Linked DNA regions of Canis lupus familiaris. The protein of the gene in region 2 purifies or fractionates together with the protein of the main gene of each other region. This does not show direct contact. Links are inferred from orthologs where the notes say so. Each region holds a gene or a part of one and is shown on either strand. Other genes may lie near its edges. The genes, in order: CAPZB, TWF1 and DBN1.

Evidence for each region.
Region 1: the proteins of TWF1 (region 2) and CAPZB purify together in Homo sapiens (affinity purification with mass spectrometry; 3 studies listed by BioGRID and IntAct, with this or other methods). This does not show direct contact. The link is inferred for Canis lupus familiaris from reciprocal best matches to the Homo sapiens genes TWF1 and CAPZB.
Region 3: the proteins of TWF1 (region 2) and DBN1 purify together in Homo sapiens (affinity purification with mass spectrometry; 3 studies listed by BioGRID and IntAct, with this or other methods). This does not show direct contact. The link is inferred for Canis lupus familiaris from reciprocal best matches to the Homo sapiens genes TWF1 and DBN1.

The regions. Positions count from the first base shown.
Region 1 is NC_049223.1:78,771,061-78,774,712, forward strand, and holds part of CAPZB (F-actin-capping protein subunit beta), read left to right. Parts: intron 1-456; coding exon 457-559; 3' UTR 560-569; intron 570-3,282; coding exon of another isoform or gene 3,283-3,370; 3' UTR 3,371-3,652. UniProt on the Homo sapiens protein: F-actin-capping proteins bind in a Ca(2+)-independent manner to the fast growing ends of actin filaments (barbed end) thereby blocking the exchange of subunits at these ends.
Region 2 is NC_049248.1:36,255,937-36,258,508, reverse strand, and holds part of TWF1 (twinfilin-1), read left to right. Parts: coding exon 1-25; intron 26-479; coding exon 480-630; intron 631-791; coding exon 792-913; intron 914-2,186; coding exon 2,187-2,357; 3' UTR 2,358-2,572. UniProt on the Homo sapiens protein: Actin-binding protein involved in motile and morphological processes. Inhibits actin polymerization, likely by sequestering G-actin. By capping the barbed ends of filaments, it also regulates motility.
Region 3 is NC_049225.1:36,792,336-36,795,987, reverse strand, and holds part of DBN1 (drebrin), read right to left. Parts: intron 3,514-3,652; coding exon 3,362-3,513; intron 3,277-3,361; coding exon 3,213-3,276; intron 1-3,212. UniProt on the Homo sapiens protein: Actin cytoskeleton-organizing protein that plays a role in the formation of cell projections. Required for actin polymerization at immunological synapses (IS) and for the recruitment of the chemokine receptor CXCR4 to IS.

The DNA.
Region 1 (3,652 bases), on a different chromosome or scaffold from region 2:
TCTGCTTTGGGGCCGACAGCAGAGGCAGGGAGCCGCTCCGGGGGCTGCCCTGACTTGTGGATTCACCCAGGAGACAGATTCCTGGTCTCCTGCTTGTATGGTTTGAAATAGCGAGGAGCCCCCTGGATCTGCATCTCTCCCATTTCCACCTGCCGGTGGGGAACTCAGTCTGGCCCCTGGCGGGTTCTGTTCCTCCTCTGGCAACATCGCTGTCCTCTGGTCACCTGGGGCCCACGCTCCGTCCCGCAGACACGCTCCTGGCAGGGGGGTGGTGGCCGGGCCCCCTCCAGCCTCAAGCTCAGCGGCTCCCCCTCTGTGCTGCGCCCCGGAGCGCAGGGCCCTTGGACACGGCTCTGCCTTCTACCCCGCACGCCCCTGCGTCTCCAGCAGTCATGTCGTGCTCCTAGGTGCGTGTCCCTCCCTCCCGCCGCACTCATCTCTGACCACTCTCTGTAGATCTGTTGACGTAATCCCCGACCACCCCAAGTTTCAGCAGCTGCAGAGGGAGCTTTCCCAAGTGCTGACCCAGCGCCAGATCCACATCCAGCCTGATAACTAAGCCGACGCAGGTACCCTGCCTGAGAGGCGTGAGCACCCTCCCCACTAAACAGGACTCACCAACCCGCCGCCACCCCCGGACCAGCTGTGGCTGCGCGGTCCTCTAAACCACCACTAACCCCCGTGTCGGCTCACGGCTGTGGGCGGCCGCGGTAACACGTAGAGTCGGCCCCGTGTAACCCAGACCCGTATCACGTGTGTGCTGTGTGTGTGTCTTGCACTCTAGGCAGGGGTGGGTGTGGGGCAGAGACGGGGCTTGGCCCTGGCTCTGGAGGAAGCCCAGTCTGGGGATTAACCCTGCGTCTCCAGCAGAAGCCGCCTGTCTGCACCGCTCTGGTCTCAGAGCCGGGGTCTGGGCACAGCCTTCGCTCGGCCGCATGCCCCAGGGCAGCCTCCCCGAGCCCCCTCTCTGTGCACCAGAGCCTCTGGCCTCCCCACCAAGCATCCCAGAGGCCAGATGAGCCTTCTCCATGGGAAATGGACAGTTTGGGGCCGTGGCTTGTGAAAGGGGTGTGTGGCCCCGAGCCGGAGGCTAGAGCACAGAGCGGAGGCCAGAATCCCCCCGGCTGGGCTTGCTGCACCCCCAGACCGGTTGCTGCTGGAGCTGCTTGGACCGGCATAACCTTCTGCCCCTAACAAGCTGCGGCCGTCCTCTTAAACGCCTCACACTGACGGAAAGGAGCAAGTGTTGCTTGTTGACCACAGCTGTGAACCCCGACTTGAGCCCATGACAGATACAGATGGGGGAAAGCCCGCGTCCTGGGAGAGGAGGGAAACTTTTAATCCAAGGCACTCAGAAGCCCTCAGGGCAGGGCTAAGGGATTTCTGCCCAGACCAGGGACTGGCCACTGGAGGCCTGACCCAGAAGAGGCCCAGCAGGATTTCGGGGGAGCGGGGGGCATTGATGCAACCAGGCTCCTCTGTGTTCATGGGACTCCAGTGTGTCTGGGCCTCTGAGTGCCACCCTCACGCCTTGCGCTGGGACATCCCATTCCCATCGCAGCGAGAGGAAACCTTCTTAAGGCGTGCCGTGGTACTGCCGGCGTCTTCCCCAGCCTCTCAGCTTTTGTTGGGGGTGGGGTGGGGTGTAAAGTCTTCTAGAGCCCTGCCCTGGGTCAGTCCCTTGGCCACCCCCTGGAAGATTTCCAGCATAGAGCCCCCCCCCCCCCCCAGCAGCGGGCAGCCGGGCTCTCCGTGGGTCCAGGACACGTCCTCCTTCCCACTCTGAGCCACCAGTTCCTCTGGGCATTGATTGGACATTGCTTGGCAGTGACCTTTCCAGGCTGTGTCCCCCAAATTATATCTCCAGGCCATTCTGAGCCCAGTCTCCCGTGCCTTACCTAATCTCCCTCTGGTTCTAACTCTGGAACTTTCTCCCTTGTGGAGGTTGAGGACAGGGCCCAGGCCAGGCCTGGTGTGCTTGGCTGCTCCTTCCCAGAAGAGCCAGCACCCACGCAGGCCGGGGAACCGTGCGAGCTGTCGCTTCCTCCCCCCGGAAGCTTTTCCAGAAGCACATGGTGGGCCAAGAACCGAAGCCCGGGGCCACCAGGGCTGCCGTCTGACGCTTCCCTTTGCTACCGCTGAGCCGGGGCAGCCCAGGATGCTTGTTCAGAAACATTCCACCGAAAACCATGGCACTTCTCCTGAGAGTTTTTTAGTGGTTTACGGATCAGCTTATCTGTGCCACCCTCAGACTTGGGAGGCCACGTGCCATGATTTTTCTGGGATTCAGTAGCCAGAGCTCAGTTTGGGATGTTCTTGGTTCTCCCAGTTCTGGAAGTCGAGGATTCTTTTCTGCCCCGTCTTCCGGCCTTTTCACGGCCGATGCATTTCAAGCCTGAGATTCCTACGGGCCGCAGTGTCCACAGCTTTCCTGCCAGGCAGCCTGCACCCTTCCGTCACTGCTTCAAAACTGTTGAAAAGTTTATAAGAAGTTTAGCAACTTCTTGGTCAACACGTTGGGTCAGTTTGACAGAGCGACCTTTCAGGCCCTTGGAGGGGGGGCACTTCCCTGAGCCTCAGTTTCCTCGTCCGTGGATTGGGGACACCAGGAGGCCCCCCAGGATCTTTGAGGGGAATGAGAGCTGTGTGGGAAGCACTGTGTGCGCCGCCCGGCCTTTGCAGAGCTTAGCGGCCGCTTGCTCCGGTGCAGAGCTTAACGCCCGTGCGCAGGTGCACCGGTCCACACGGCCCCACAAATCCAGGATCGGACAGCAGGGACCCAGGGCCTCTCGTCTCCGTCCCATGCTGCCTCCTGAAATCCAGGCTGAGGGAGCTTCTCGGCCAAGTTCAGCTGACGGTGCCGCACAGCAGCAGGCTGCCCGCGCCTGCCCTTTGGGGCTCAGATGTCCAGAGGTTCTTAAGCGTTCGCTGCACCCTGCACCCTGCACTTGGGGGGTGAGCCGCGGGCCGCCTCTGCCGGGCAGGGGGGCGGTGAGGGGAGGCTCCCCGGCAGGGCCCCTGAAGCACGAGGGGCTCGGCTGCGTTGCTCTCGAAGCCCCGGAGCCACCCTCTGGCTCAGGCTGACTTGGGACCCGCGCCCGGAGGAGTGGATGGGGTTCGGTGACCCCAGGCGGGCCGTGCACGGAGGCCCGCGCCTCTCCAGCGCCCCCAGCCGACGTCAGCCCGGCGGCCCCACGGTCACCCGAGGAGGCAGCGTGACCCGGCCCTCGGGCCGCCGCTCCCCGCCACGCGCACTGACGCCCTCTTTCCCCCTCCCGGCAGGTCTGTGCAGACTTTCGCAGACAAATCAAAGCAAGAAGCTCTTAAGAACGACCTGGTGGAGGCCTTGAAGAGAAAGCAGCAGTGTTAGAGCCCCGCTCCGCTCGCTCCGGACACGCCACGCGCTCGGTAGAGTCCTTTCTTAGAAAACTCGTCTTCTGCCCCCGCCCCGCCCCGCCCCCACCAGGTCCCGTAACACCGGCATCGCGACCGCACAGCGCCATCTCCCCAGAATAAAGCCCAGTAAACACCCCTGTCTCCGAGGCCTACTTCCCACCACGTTTTGCTATCAGAACTCTCCTTGTTTCCAGAGCCCGTGTGCTTTTGTTTGCCCCAGCCCCCCCCGCCTCCCCTCCCTCCCCCCCTTTTTGTT
Region 2 (2,572 bases):
CAGACAGCTCAACTATGTGCAATTGGTAAGAGACATGATAATTATGAAATGGCAGTCCTTTCTGGTGTCTCATGGTTCATATAAGGTTTATTTTTAATGGATTTAAAATTGTTTTGTTTCCTGATTTTTTTAAATTCATTTTCTTAAAACTACAAGACAATGTATGTTCACTGTGAAAAGTCAAACCTGTGTAAGTTTCCCCTTGTCTGCTAGGTTTTTTTGTTCTGTTTTGTTTTTAAATATTTTATTTACTCATTCACGAGAGAGACAGAGAGAGGCAGAGACACAGGCAGAGGGAGAAGCAGGCTCCATGCAGGGAGCCCGACATGGGACCTGATCCCAGGACCCCGGGATCACGCCCAGGGCTGAAGGCAGGCGCTAAACCGCTGAGCCACCCAGGCGTCCCTCTGCTAGTTTTTTTTATTACAATTTTTAAATTGCTGTGTATCTGTTTTAATGAAGCTATTTCTTATTGACAGGAAATAGATATAAAAAATGAAATTATAATTTTGGCCAACACAACAAATACAGAACTAAAAGATTTGCCAAAGAGGATTCCCAAGGATTCAGCACGTTACCATTTCTTCCTGTATAAACATTCCCATGAAGGAGACTATTTGGAGTCCATAGGTATATAGTATATTGCTTTAACATGTTACTTTCAGTTGGCTTTTTGGTATTTTAACACTGTATTCTCACTCTTGCCCAGAAGACTTAGCTATAATTCTGTGAAGTTTAGTATTTGCTTTAATTGTTGTAATGCTAATTGTATTTATTATTTTGACTTACAGTTTTTATTTATTCAATGCCTGGATACACATGCAGTATAAGAGAACGGATGTTATATTCTAGCTGCAAGAGCCCTCTGCTAGAAATTGTAGAAAGACAACTACAAATGGATGTCATTAGAAAGGTAAAATTACCTATTTATTTTTAAATTTCAGTATTTGTTAGATCTTTATTGTCTTTTTCATGTAGTTCATGATGTATCATGATTTATTAATGAAAGTATTTTTTTCTTGTTCTCATCATAAATCTTCAGGGTCTCCTTTACTCTAAGTGCCTGGGGAAGATCTATCATTGCTCCAGGCTCCTTATAGATCTATGCTAATATGCAGCCATTAAGCTACATGTGGCTATTTAAATTTAAATATAAATTAAAATTAAATAAAATTTAAATTCAGTTTCTTAATCACACTGGCCATATTTCAAGTGTTTGTAGCTACAAGTGGCTATGGCTACTGTATTGGAAAGTGCAGAATTTAGAGAACATTTCCATATTGCAGAAAATTCTGGACAGTGCTGCTAGATCTACATACCTGTGCTTGTCTCAACACTTGCTATTAATAAGGAACTAGAATCTCCATTTGTAACTGAACCATGGGATGGTTGAGAATCTATTTGTTGAGTAAGGAGGGAATGGGCATAAACATTTGCATTTGGGGAGCTAAGCTACCAATTTAATTAAATTTATTTTCTTAAATGCAAATGAGGCATGGGTAAAGATGTGGTTTATTCTTGAACCCTTCAACCCATTAAAACACACATCCCTACAAACTGCCAGTGTATTGGGTACTAACCCTTTATGCTTTTTTTTTTTTTTTTTTTTTTCTCTCTTTATGCTTTTTAAGATCTGAAGGTATAGCAGGGACTGGCTGACTTTTTCTACTATAAGACCAGATAGTAAATACTCTGTTTCACCAGGCTACATATGGTCTTTGTTACATACTCTTGTTTGCTTTATTATTTTATGTTTATAGCCCTGTAAAAATGTAAAGCACCTCTTAATTTGGGTTAAATTTGGCCCTGTTCTAGAGTAATTTCAAGTGACTCAAGTAACAAAGGCGCTAATGAATAATGTTTCTTGGATATGTATAGTGTAACAAAGCAGAGCAACTTGAGAATATAGTGGTGGCTTCTTATATACTAGGTAGAAGAAGAAAGAGGAACCAAATAGAAAATGATTATTGCTGATTATGTGTTCAGGCAACTCACAACCCCAGGGAGGGGTTTCCCTCCCCAAAAAATGTGGAAGTGAAACTATTTACATATGGTCCTTGATACTCTCCTGCTAGAATAGGTGTTACATATTTATTACACCTGAAAACTGGCACCATGGTTGCACTAGGTTTTGAATGTTGTCTTTTTCGTATAGTATCACACTTTACCAATTCCATCTCTTACAGATTGAGATAGACAATGGGGATGAGTTGACAGCAGACTTCCTTTATGAAGAAGTACACCCAAAGCAGCATGCACATAAGCAAAGTTTTGCAAAACCAAAAGGTCCTGCAGGAAAAAGAGGAATTCGAAGACTTATAAGGGGTCCAGCTGAAAGTGAAGCCGCTGCTGATTAAAGTCATTATATTAAGCATTACAATACTAGTTTTTTAAAAGTCCAGCTTTTAGTACAGGAGAACTGAAATCATTCCATGTTGATACATAGTAGGGGAAAAATTGTACTTTTTGAAAAATAGCACTTTTCACTTCTGTGTGTTTTTAAAATTAAGGTTATAGAAGACTCATGATTTCTATTTTTGAGTTACAGCTAGAAAAGCGTTCAACATAGTGA
Region 3 (3,652 bases), on a different chromosome or scaffold from region 2:
TCCAGGGCCACTCATGAGTGCTCCCTGCTTTGTAGCTTAAGTGTTCTTGGATCTCCTACCCCAGTACCTAGCCAGCCACATGCCTATCATTGCTGCCTTGATCTTCGCATCATGACCGAGAGCTTCCCATTAGTCACCTGCCTCCTTGCTCTTCTCTCATACAAGGATCTTTCCTAAATCCAAATGAGACCATGAATTTCCCTAGCTTAAAATCCCTTGGCGGGTTTCTCAAGAGTATAGTGAGTACTAGCTGACTAAGGCCCACAGAAGGCTTTTGTGTTGTGTCTCCAGTTTCTCTTAAAATGCCAGAAGCCCTGGCAACAATGGACACGCCCCAAAGCAACTACTGGCCAGAGCAGCGCTGCAGGAGCCCTCAACCCAGGCACCTCAACCCAGGCATGTGCTATCCCGTTTGCTGCAGTCCCCACCACAAGTGCATTCCCTAGTGCACTTTACCAGCCAGCTGCACTACAGTTTAGAGGCTGCGACCCCAGGAATAAAGATAGACAGGAGTTCCTTGCGTGTCCCCTGTTCCCCTTCCCCTTGTCTGATCTAGTCCATCACCTCTCTAACACTCACACACCCTTTAAGATGTAACCACAAAGTCCTCAACACGATGCAGTCAGAGTTCCTGGAATGTGCACATCATCTCCCCCCTCCCGTGCCTCTGCATGGAAGATCAATCTCTTGCCCCAAGTGCCCATCTCCCAGCCCAGGTCCAACTCTTCCCACTTCCATCCTCAGCCTGGATACTGCCTCCTGGAGAAGTGGTCCCTCGCCCATTCAGGTCATTTTGGGGTCTCCATGAGGTATTCTAGGCACACACCACAGATTACACAGTATCATAACTTCCTTTTTCTGGGCTCACTGCCCCTATCCTCTGTGGTGACACAGAACAAGAAGTGAGATCCAGCACAAGGTTCTGCTGGCATGTGTTTGCTCAACTGAACTCACTACATCAAAGCTTTTTAATTGGTGCTGCTCCTGCTGCCACTGTGGCTGATGGGGCAGGAGGGACTGAGTGCAGAGGGGAGGAGAGGCTGCAGGTAAGGTGGGGGACTTACAGAGCTTCTCTGCTTTGTGCATGTAATCTAAACTCAAACTTTGCTCTCAGGATACATTAAGAGAATGGCCTATCAAAGCATCCCCCTCAAGAGGGTTGTCATTCCAACCACAACTCTGCGTTCTTCCAGAATGAAGTCTCAAGTCCTCCTCTGACCTAGCTCTCTTTCCAATCCAATTTCCCTTGCTCTTCAGCTGACTGGGCTCCAGCCAGGCTCCTTGCCTTCCCATAAATTACATCCCACCAGCCTTTGCTGGTGTTCAGCACCGCCTAGTGTGACCTCACTAGATGCCTTTGCCTCATTCAAAAAAAGGACTAGAGGCAAGCTCACCACAAAAGCCTTAACTACTAACGACGTGCAAAAGATTGAAACAAATTACGGGTACTGGGTAGGAAAAGCGAGATCAACACACTAATCACATGGTCAGAAGCACTGCTGTGCCTGAGTGTTTTCAGATACGTGGGGGCTCCCTGACCGCTCAGGCAGAAAGGGAACCTAGGCAAGGAACGCAATTCTTAAGCAGAACAACAGCTTAAACAAAGAGACAGCATGTTATGGTTCTAAATTCCAAAGTTGTCACGAGACCTTCTTTAGAGGACCTGAAGTGGTAGGATCACCACACTGACCTGCTTGAATATCCACTGTCACTACCCTATGAGCCACACCTGAAGGGCCGGGTATAAGACTTTGCCTGAAACGTTGACAACTGGTGTAGATGAGTGATCACTTCAGGGGAATGCACTATTACTGTTCTTTCTACCTTTGCGTGTCTGTATGTGAAATTCTCTATAAAGCAAGCTTTTTCAAAACGACCTTGCTCTGAATGGATAAACAAAATGCGGTGTATACGTACAAAGGAATGTTATTAGCCTTAAAAAGGAAGACCTTCTGACACATGGATGAACCTTGAAGACACCGCACTAGGTGAAATAACCTAGTCACAAAAGGACAAATATTACGATTCCATTCAAATGAGGTACTTAAGAGTAGTCAAATTCACGGAAAGTAGAAAGGCAGTTGCCAGGGACCTGGGGGAGAAGAGAATGGGGAGTTAATGTTTAATGCGGACAGAGTTTCAATATGGAAAGATGAAAAAAATTGGAGATAAACAGTGATGATAGTTGTACAATGTAAATATGTTGGGAATCTTAATGCCACTAAACTGTATACTTAAAAATGGTTAAGATGGCACATTTTATGGACATTCTGGCACAATTCAAAATAAACTGATTCATCAATTACTTTTTAAAAAAGTTTTGCCCATCTTGCTCTCCACTGTTTCTAACACCTGGTACCCGGCAGGTGGCAAAGGTGTGCTGAATGAACAACTGTAGCTGGAGCTCACTAACCACACATCTCCACCCCCAGCGCTGATGTGACTGCAATGAACTCTGACAGCCACTTCATACCACAGTCGGCATGGCTGTCGGGTCTCCTCCCTCCCAGCCTCCTGCGGGGGTGACCCTCCTGGAGCTCATCTGGGTCCTCATGGCAAAACTGGCCATCACTAATCCACATGAGTACTGCCCACCTCCCACTCAGAACTCTACCATGCTCCACCCTAAATGACCTTGGCTATTTCTGAAATACAAAATTCAATTCAAAGCATGAAGACTCAACCCCAGGATGCTTCTGTGGGCCACCCCCAGTGTGTAGAGGTACGAGAACACCCCTAGAACTATACACACTTGTGTATAGATGCTCAGAACATGGGCCCAAACTCCTTCGTGTGGCTCTGCAGCACAACTGTGGTGGGGACCAGGTTTCCAGCCCCTCCAAAGTGCAGGAAGTGTGTCTAACCCACCCCAAGCTTCTCAGGCTCCACTGGGAGGAGGAGTTGGGGGGGAGGGGCAGGTCAGTGAGGGACTGGGTCAAGACAGATTTTCTCTTTCAGTCTACAAAATAAACTTCTCCAAGGAAGTCTCTTTCCACAGCCCAGGAACAGAGACCCACATGATTGGGTGGCAGGCCTGACACTCTGTGACACTCCCATGCCCATGCAGAGGTACTCCGAACACCCAGAACAGTCGTCAAGCCACTGATAACCAGCTCCTCCCAGGCCCACCCCCCTCAACAGAGGCCCAGTAACACAGGGACTATTCTCACTTCCCCTAACCAGGAGACTGGGAGCCCCAAACAAAAACTTACAAAGATAGACTGTTCCTTCAACCGTCGCTTGGCCTCCTCAGCTTCTAAAGTCTGCTGTTTCCTCCTGGAATGATAAGCGGGCATGCATACCTCAGGGTGGGTCCACATGCAGCCTGGAGCAAGTGGCCTAGGGTGGGGGCAGGGCCAACCTGTGCTCCTCGATCTGCTGTTCCCGTTCTCGGTAGCGCCGTTCCCGCTCCTCCTGCTCCTGACGTTCCTGCTCCATCCGTTCTTGCTCAAACCGGAGTCTCTCATCCAGGGCCTTCTTCCGCTCCTCCTCCTTCCTCAGCTCTTCCTCCTTCTGCAACCCCCCACACCAAGGCAGTGCAGGCCCTGAGCTGGGGCCCGCCCCTGCCCCTCCAGCCCCTCCCCAACACAAGATTGGGGAGGTTCTGTTTCTGGGAAGTTCAGCCCAATATGGCTCCCTCTTTCAGCTGGGG